Drosophila melanogaster: one gene and its partner. The protein of the gene in region 2 interacts with the protein of the main gene of each other region in a pairwise test. Each region holds a gene or a part of one and is shown on either strand. Other genes may lie near its edges.

The links.
Region 1: the proteins of X11Lbeta (region 2) and rst interact in a two-hybrid assay, tested with the Drosophila melanogaster proteins (one study listed by BioGRID).

Annotation. Positions count from the first base shown.
Region 1 is NC_004354.4:2,970,654-2,975,763, forward strand, and holds the start of rst (roughest), read right to left. Parts: upstream 3,182-5,110; 5' UTR 2,748-3,181; intron 1-2,747. UniProt on the Drosophila melanogaster protein: Required for correct axonal pathway formation in the optic lobe and for programmed cell death in the developing retina.
Region 2 is NC_004354.4:10,627,615-10,632,520, forward strand, and holds the start of X11Lbeta (X11Lbeta), read left to right. Parts: upstream 1-1,702; 5' UTR 1,703-1,801; intron 1,802-2,559; exon of another isoform or gene 2,560-3,774; 5' UTR 3,775-4,194; intron 4,195-4,906.

The DNA of each region.
Region 1 (5,110 bases), 7.7 Mb from region 2:
CTCATCAAAAATGCAGGCCAAAGTGGCGCACTTTAAAAATGCCGCCTCTCATAGATTTTCATTTTCCATTTCCATTTTGCCCCCACCCCAGAAAGTGGAGTGCCATGTTTTGAGGTCAGAACCCCCCCCCCTTATAGCCTCCTCCTAATGATGATGGCTTGACAAATATTTATTGCTTAAGCATTTGAGTGCAAATATTTTAATTAGTCTGGCGACAAGACAACAGATCTGGAAATGGAAAGTATAGATGGAACTGGATCTGGGATTCGGACTTCTGGACTTCTGGATTCTGGGCCCCATTTCTCAACGCTGATGAGGCTTAATGAACTGCAAAGCGGCCCTCAATTGTCTTCAATTAACCAAATTAACCAAGGGATAAATTGCTTGCCTTTCGAATGCCCTCGTCTGCATTTCTTTTTAGAGATGAGATGAGAAATTAGCTGGCAGATGCAAATACCAGGCAATAAGTCTTTTCTTATTGTACCTAAATGATATAAAATACCAATTATTCATTAAACGAAGCACTTTCTTAAACAAAAAAAAAAAACAGGCAAAACGGATGAGCGCAGCAGTCAAATCGGTGGAACCGATACGGCAGAAACTGTCAAAAAGCCTGACAGCTCCGCTCTCAAGGTAATCCATCCAGCGCGGTGGGGCAAAAGGGGGTGACGAACATAATTTGTGGCATGCAAAGAACTAACAAAGCGACAGGCAGGCGAAAAAAAAAAAACAAAAAAAATGCAAAATCGCAGGGCGAAATTGAAAAGGAAAAATAAGTTTCGACATGCTGACGAGGACGCGTCAAAACGATCCAACAAATGCGGCCTCGCCAATCGATAACACAGCAACAAAAAGTGCAGGAGAAATACAGGCGGCAGCAACAACTTGCGACATGAGCATGTTGCACTTCCTGCCACGCCTACCGAACGCCTCTTTTGCCATCCTTTTCCCACACTCCCCAATTTCCTCCTGTCGATTGTTTCAGACGTTTTTAGCAATTTGCAATGCCAGCAAATTGGGCCAAATTATAAAATCCAAAAGCTACACACACGTTCCCAAATACACTTTAAAAATATTTTTTCTTTTTGTTTTCAAACCAAAAAACTTAATAACGTTATTCAAAATGAATTTATAGGAGCTTCAATCAAGATAAATAAGTATGAAAATAAGTTAATTTCAATTAAAAAAAAAAAGAACAAATACTTTTTCTGGTCAAAGACTAACTTTTTTTGAGACTAGTTTTCTTAATCGTGCTTTAGCAAATCTCCCAGCCAATCAATATTTTTCCGGTGTTTATCATGCGACATATATGAACCCAGAGGATGGAGCAGAGTAAGTAAAAGGTTAGCTTGCCAAAGAAGATTGAAACTTTGCTTGCTTTTTTAATGACAAGGGACAGGTGCGTGAGTCTGAAGATACGCTTGTATATGCATTTGCAGATGTTTGAGTATCTGTGTGCAATGTATCGATGTATTGGTAAAGCTTCTGGGCCTTCAGCTTCTTTAGCTCGCATTTCTGTTCTTTAACACCACAGCCGCTAGCAACATTTTCTTCGCTTACAGCTGGGGGGAGTTACACAGAGAAAAATTTTATGAGTAATAAATAAATTTCTATTGGATTTGGAATAATTGATTTATGATTTTTGAATGTGTCAATAAGAGAGTCGAATTACTGGCATTTCACTTAATCAATGACAAAAGGAATTAAATGTATTTGCAAATTTATTTACTTAAAACCAAATGAATTAATCCATAAATGTCAGAAATAAACCATTGAAATAGGTATACCATTCGAATGTTATAAATAAATATACGCATTAAAGAATTACACCAAAGCGCACATTTAATATACATTGCCTATTATGTAGATTAAAACTTGAAGTTGAATGTTATACTCATTAAAGTTTATCGTTTGCCGTAAATTATTCAGAATGATTTTAGCATTGTTTAGCATATATTCAAGTAGATTTTTTGTTTGTGTACATACTTGTATACGAACAAAAAATCATTCTATACATTTAATATTAATTTTTCAACTTAAGTGCTTACGAAATGCCTAATCGTTGACTAGCTTTGTACATTTTGTTTTTCAAAGTTATTGCTTTAAATCATAAATCATGCAAAACCAAGGAAAGAAGAGATCGAATCAGTTAAGAAGAGCACTTTTTTCTATAGATGCTCAGAGGGATGGAATGGTCAGAAGAAGCTAATTAGGTGTCCAAGGTCTGGAGTTGAAGATCTATTATTGTAGAGGGGAAAGTATATCTGTGATATACAACTTAACATAGATTTTGTATAATAAACCTCATTTTCAGATTGATAAGATCTAAACGTTATTCGAAAGATGGTAATTTAATTTATTTTATATTTTATTACATTTTAATATTTTCAGCAACTAGTACTTGCCATTGGGCATTTCATTAGGCAGAAAGGAAAATATAAATTTTGCTTTAACAAAGTCTACTTACAACCAAAAATCATGCTTCCATTTTCAATTAAAAACACATATATTTTCTTCGAAAAAAAAAAAAATACACTCAAGCAAACTCGAAATCCAAATGCCAAAGTGGCCAAAAGCGAAACTTTTGAGGGGCCAAAAGAGGCGGAGACTTGGCCAGTAACAGTATATTATAAACAAAATCAAACGAAAAGGTCAAAGTGAGGGAGCAGCTGTTGCAGTTGGCGCATGAAAAAAGCCAAAAGCACAGGAGTTTTCTTTAGATTTTACTGATGAACTTTTTTACTCACACTGTTTGTTTGTAATCAATTTAAACAATTTCGGCTCCTTAGTCCTCTTATATGCATATATATTTTTAACTGACTCTGACCGGCCACTGGCACTAATCCATAATTGTTGGGTTGACAATTTTCAGCTTGTTTGGTTTTTCGGGCTTTGTTTTTATGATAGCCTTGTTTATTCCATTTTAAGCACACACTTTTCCACTGGTAATCCACACCAAAATGAAATTTTTTGGCTTGCGTTTGCACCAAAAAAAAAATTGACGTTTAGTTATATATTTCGTTTTAATTATCTGAGATTTACTGAGAGTTTTCTCGGGCGAATATGCGATGCGAGTTCTCGTCTTCGGGGTCTCGAAAAGTATCTGTGAGATACCAGCTATCGAAAGTACGGAGTTTCCGCCGCTACGAAGCGAACGGTACGAGCGAACGGAACGAAGTGCGAACTCGATCCAAAAATCCGACTTCTTCGGCCGGCGCGGCTTGTCTTCAAACAAAACAAAGCGACGCAACATGTTCGATGATGTTGCAAGTGGTGTTTCAGGCTCTAACAGCATGCAACAGGGCTAACAGCGCGGCTCGATGCAACCTCTGTTCTATGTTGTTATTCATTTGGATTATGTTTGGCAGCCAATGTTTTTTTAAATTCCCATATATATGGGATATATGTTTTCATATCATATATTTACTATAAGTTTTCAGATGCAATGTATAAATTATATTAAAAAATATTATAAATTATTTATACGAATCAATTTAGTGTTCGCTATACATATCTTTTTTGTTTCTGTGCACGCAAATTTGGGGATATTGCCAGCCGATGTGCCACGATTTTTGGCCATCTGTCTTTTGGCCTTAATTGCACTCTGATTTGCTGTTAGCAGCGCCACCTTCCGCCAAAAGTGTGGACCACCAACTGTTGCCGGAGAAGATAAAAAACAAAAAAAAAAAGATCACATAAAGTATAAACCCTTTAAACACTGCAGATTGAGATAAAGTAGGAGAATTGGCCGTCAAGAGGTCAATGCTGTCGGGACAGCAGCTGTTCACCAATCTCTCCTCCTTCTTCGCACCCACAATTCTTCCCGTTTTGGTAGAAATCTGCAGTCTTTCTTCCGATTGTGGAATGCCAGAAGGGCTGTGAAGAGCGACATATGGTCCTCTACAGAGCAATTTGAGTAAAAAGTCCAAATCTGTGGCTTGACAAAACGGCGGAAATCCCATGGGAACCACACAGAGAAGTGTTTAACATGATTTTCAAAAAGAAGCTATTAATTTATCATTAAATTAGCTTAATTTTTACATTAAGCAGCCCTTTTTTGAAGTGCCAACATTCCTGCGCTTTTTGCTGCATGCATAATTTTAGTTGGCTTAAGAACATTTCAAATGTCACACTTGTAGTAAAGCCAAGCTCAGCTGAAAACTCAAACACTGTGGGAGCCATTTTACTAGGTGCGACTTGTTAATCAATCGACTGCATGATGAGTTGATTCTAAGTTTTCCCATAATTGAATCGATACACAAGCTGTGCGCTCCACGAGAGATAGGGAGATACAAAAGATACAAAGATACTACCAGCGATGAAGATGGACTGTTGGATGGGAAGATTTCGGCACTGGAGACATGCAAGACCAAAATAAACAAGTTTCGGAAGGGAAATTTATGGCACGATTGCTGCGAACGCAATTTAAACTACGCGTGTGAGGGAGGCACCGCCGGAAAATCGGAAAATTCGGAGCGAGTGATGAAGTGTCGGCTCTCTTCCAATTTTCCGCTCTCTCTTCGCGCCTCTTTCCACGCATTGCTTGCCTTTTCGAGGGGGGATTTTCCAAGCACCGCTGATTTTCTTCGGCTCCCCAAGTAATTGTCATGTAATTTATGGCCGCCGTATGGGAATATCAATGCATTGCGCTCTAAATTTACACAAAGACGAAAGATAAGGCGAACGTTGTTGCATAGTCAGGGCATTTCCTCTACATATGCGTAGTCCAAAATTGTTTATAAACACCCCAACAAACTATAACAAAAAGCCTTTCTCGATAAGAAGGTTCATAGCCAGATCCCATAAATTCCATTCGCAAGATAGGATTTCTGTTGCAGCATTTTGAAACACTATATTACCAATAAAATCGAAATGCATGCACAAGTTTTGTCCTTAAATATTTCAGATAGCTCCCCTATCACGCACACCCTTTTTAACCCCAAACAAATTTGTTATAGCTAATTTGTGGTTTTTTCTTTTCAAATATATAAACTCATGGAATCTATACAACGTTTTAAAGTATTTCTTGAATTCAAGACTTATTTCCATAGCATTGTATCAAATCAAATGCTCTGTTTATCGCTATTTTTAGTTGACAGTTTTGGCTGCT
Region 2 (4,906 bases):
TTCTCTTGTCTTGCTCATCGGCTCTCTCGTGTACTGTTATTCTCCCGCCTGCGAGGTTAACACGTTTGCAAATGTCAAAGCCATGACTTCAGCGTAAGTTCCTCGTCCGTTTTAGTTTCAGTGTGTTCTCAGCATTTGGAGCACTTCGTTTAACCAATACGGTGCGCACACAAACACGCCAAAAACGCCAATTAAACAGATATACGATAATAAACAATATTATTTAAAACCTAACCGAATTTGTGTAAAAATCGTGGATATTAAGGGCGTTTACGGTAAATGTAAACGATTTAATTTCAATACATTCTTCCGAATTTGTCTTCGATAATTAGAGACTTAAATTAAATTTCCCCCGAAAATTCTGCGGCCCATAAACGCGCGCGTGTTCGCCTGATTTGCCAATGTGTTCGTGCGTGTTTCTTTTATGTGTGTGTGTCACTGTATGTTCCCTATGTGGGTTGTTGTGCGAGTGTGTGGCTGAGAGAGTACTTATTATGTAAAGTGCTCATCTTATTGACAGTTGTCAGTGGCTAGTTGCGCTGATTTCCGTGCCGATTGCCTTTGACCAACTGCCAAAGTCGGATGGCTTCAATTTGCTAATTAATCGAGTGCGAACGCACTTAAGTATGCTCCAGCGTTTAGCGCACGCACACACATGTACAAGCATATTGTGTGTGTCTATTTTAGTAGCAACATGTCTTTGGCAATCGTACCATATTCAAGCAAGAGAGAAAAGAGAGAATGAGAAAGTTTGGAAAGAGCCCTCACAATTTACAAATTTTTATTATTTTGACTTTCCTCTTCACCCTTGTCATCGTGCAAGCGTTCTTTTGCCCTTCGAAATGTCAAAATATTGCAGACAAAAGTCTGTGCTCTGCACAACATTGCCAGTCTGAAATACTTCTTCCGTTAGTCACATGTTTCCAACAAGCTGTCAAGCTGTAAAGAAAATTTGATGGTAGTGCATGGTGTCCTGTGCAACATATCTGAATGTATTCATTAAAAATAGCAGGCGATATTTTAAATCTTGTTTCATTAATTAATTGTGTACATATTTATTTGCTTTCTGCTTTGAATTGACATTGCCAGACTAAAATTGAATGTCAATTCAAATTGACCGCCACTTGTCGCGTTCCCCACATGCGCCACTCTCGCTCTCTTTAATTTTCTCCTTCCCTCTCTTGTTCTCTCTGTTGACTATGGGAAACAGTTAGGTTAACATACATAAGTTCTGTTAACTTTGGTAGCTTAACACTTGTACCCTTTGCGTATTATTAACCCATAAGTAATTCGAACTTAACTTTATGACATATAATGTATATGTTTAAAAAACAGTCTTTGGATTTGGAGAAAGACGTTTCATTTGTATTCTTTAAGTTTTGCTAATTATTTTTACGTAATTATTGATTGTAACTATTTCAAGGAAAGTAATTTTTGTCTTAAGGGAGAAGAGGAACTATTTTTTTTTTTGAATGAAGTTCTTTCATCGTCTAGGACTAAAATACAAACAGCTGAATCAATGATATTAAGTAAAGCAGATGTCACGGATGTAGTGCAGTTAAGGGTTAACCTTAACATCATCCCGCTGTTGCGTTAACAGCGCGTAACGGGACTGCCGCTCTCTTTGTCCAGCCCCCCTCCGATCGACCAACACATAGACAGCGCTCAGTTGCTGGTCTTGTTTGGCTTGGTTTAGTTTTAGTCCTTCTTTGAACGTGCTGCCGACGAGTCACGAATTCGCAAGGCGTACGCATGGGATACCGACTCCCCACTCTTCCAGTCACATACTTTTTTTTCCAGTGTTTGTGCGCCCAGTGTGCGTGTGCGAGTGTGCGTGCGCGTAGATGTGTGTGTTTTGATGAGTGTGCAAACAGCAGGAGGAAGCGAAATAAGAAATAACACAAACCCACGCTTAATATGTATTATTGTACTCAACCTTCTGGCCATTTGCATGTGATGCGAAGCTATGTGCTTACAGCTGTTTAATTGATTCCCCGATTGCAACTCTTCGCGATCTCCGCTTTCGGTTTTGAGTTGTCCCGTTGAACCGCTAACTGTTTAACCGTTAACCGATTTGCCGTCCTGTGTGCTTGTCGCTCTGTCAAAGTGTGTGTGTGTGTGTTTATTTTGTCTTCTTTTAGTTAATTCATCGTGTAGTTTCTCGTTTTTTTTGCTGTTTCTCCTGACAAGTGATATTGCTCTCTCGCTCTGAGTCAGCAGCGCCTGTCAAGCGGAGGGTTGTTTTTTTTTCCCTGGCCAGCCGCTCCCCCTCAATCACCGCACCCACCCCCTTCGCTCAACTTTTGCGCCACGTTGCCTTCAAAACTTCATTTCCAACCACTTGCCGTCGCCGTCGACGTCATCGCAGCCATACAACAAACCACCGAGACACCACCCCCACCAGCACCCCCCCTCATCTGATCCCGGTGTCATTGGCACTCGCTTACAGTTTGTTTAGTTTGCTTTTAAGTTGTGCGTTGTCTGCAAAATGATAAAACAAAGTATATAATAATAAGGACCAAGGGGCATGGCAAATCAGTTTACGTTAATTTTGTTTTCGTACTGCCCAAATAGAAAGAAAACCAATGCAAATACAAGACAATAAGTGAACTGAGAACCGCTGAACGCTAAGGAAAAAACAAAAACCCAAAGAAATAAAATAAACGTTGCACCCACCACCGCCTCACGCTCACCGCTCGCCCGCTAGTTTAAAGCTAATGCCACCGCCCACCACCACTAGAACTACTACTTCCACCACAACCACTAGTACCACCACCACCAAGAACCACAACCACCAACTACCAGCCTCGATCTGAACCACTTCGCAATCAAATAACAAGAAAAGAGTTAAATGTAAAAGAAAGAAAGGCAGAGTCCAGATTCCGAGTCCACTTGTCCAAAATGTCGTCAAATGTTGAAAAATGTGAGCTCCACCAAAAAAATGCATTACTAGATGTGTTCGTTCCCGTAATATGTGCATTTAGCATCCCTCTAGAACCTCTAGCGTAGCTCTATCTATTTCCTCGATAAAAAATCAAAAGACGTAGCGCCCATTCTCTATTAAAAAAATAAAAATAACTTAATAACTTACTAAGCAACCATAGAATCATTACCCGATTTGTCTTGCCATTTTTACCACTTTAGATCTAGACTGTTGACAACTATTAAAAATAAACCACACTCATTTTTGTTTTATACTAGCAAATAAGAACTATAACTATACTTTATATCGGTCTGCCTCTCTCTTTCTCACTCTATCTCTGTCTCTGTCTGTCGCTCCATCTCTGTCTGTCTTTCTTGTTCTGTCTAGTTAACATGCCTTGAATCGAACTTTTATCCACTCTGTTAACTTCTCCTGCCTAAGAAAACAAACTTTCCCACTCGAGTCCTTGAAATTTGGGAAGACCGACTGAGAATAACATCTGAAAAAGTGAAGTTCTCAAGATGGTTCCTGTGCGTTGGCACTCGTTAAAACTTCCACTGATTGGCTGGAGTCCCGATTGTAAATAGAAGCCCCATTTCTACCAAATCCTTGAGTTTCTATTAGATGTTCAACCATTGCCTGCTTCTTAACCAACCTGCATGCTCGAGAAATCATCAAATAACTAAAGATTATCGATTTATAATTTGAGAATGTTGAACACACACAGACACACACACATAATGATTGGGTCGATCGGTGGATCAAAATTACACATTCTATTGTACGTTATCCCCGTAAAGTTACATAATATCCGTTCCATTCCGTTTCGTTTCGTTTCTCGTTCCTCGTAGTTCCCAAGTTCGTTTGATGCGTTCGTTCCATCGTTCCTTCGTTGTGTTTGCCAAGTTAAATTTTGTTGTACTCGAATTCCCAACTGGCCAACTAAACCAGAGTTGGAATTCGCAATTGGCAGCCAGAAGCCAAAACTGAACAGAAAACCAAACAGCAGCTACCAGAAACAAACAACAATATAAATTAAACCTTAACCCAATCTAAATATATATATATTTATATATATATATATTCTTCCAAACCTAAAGTGTGTCTAATCACCAATTCTTAACGTCAAATTCTCTTTAAACTAAATAATCCACACACGAATCACACAAACCAAAAACCGAAATCAAAACCAAATAATCGAATCGAAATCGAAATCGCAGACCCAGGCAAAATTCGCATTGACCACCAAGCATATGAGCTTGTGGCTAAAGGTAAGCTATGAATAGTCAATATTTCAATGTTTATTTGTGAAAGGAAATCCGTTAAATGGAGAGATTATTACTATCAATTCGGCTGCAGTGCAGTGTTATGAAACATTTAAATTAAATGATTAGCTTTAATGATTTACACGCCTAAAGTTTAAGGTATACGAGTTTATGATATTTTGGAGTTGTGTAAATCGAATACTTTACACAGCAATGGCTTCAAGGATCTTTTCATAGAACATCTGCTAACAAACAACTGTTAATGAATATCCACGGCATCTATAGTTTTTATTGACTTTCCATAATGAACTGAACTCTTCTGAATAAGCCATGAATAATTTCCACTGCTGCCCTTATTAATAAACCCTTTAAAGCCTCAGCTGGTCGTTAAAACGGTGCAGCAGTCGCTAGTCTGGGAAATCCCCGATTGGCTCAAGGGAAATTCCCTCTAAATTATTATCTACGGTCCCTTCCTGGTTCCGCATTGATTTGTCGCATGTCCGGATGTTGTACGTTCCTGCCCCTCACACATCTTGCCACATGCAACTATTCATTTTCAATTATCCTGTTAAATTAATGCCTTGTACTACTCGTCTGGCCCATTCTCGACTTCCTTTCCCAGCTGCCAGCGCATCATACCCACATATCCTTTGTCTGCGGCATGATTCAGCTCAGCTCAGCTCAGCTATCTGTGAAAAGTTTGTTTTTTTCGCCCGTT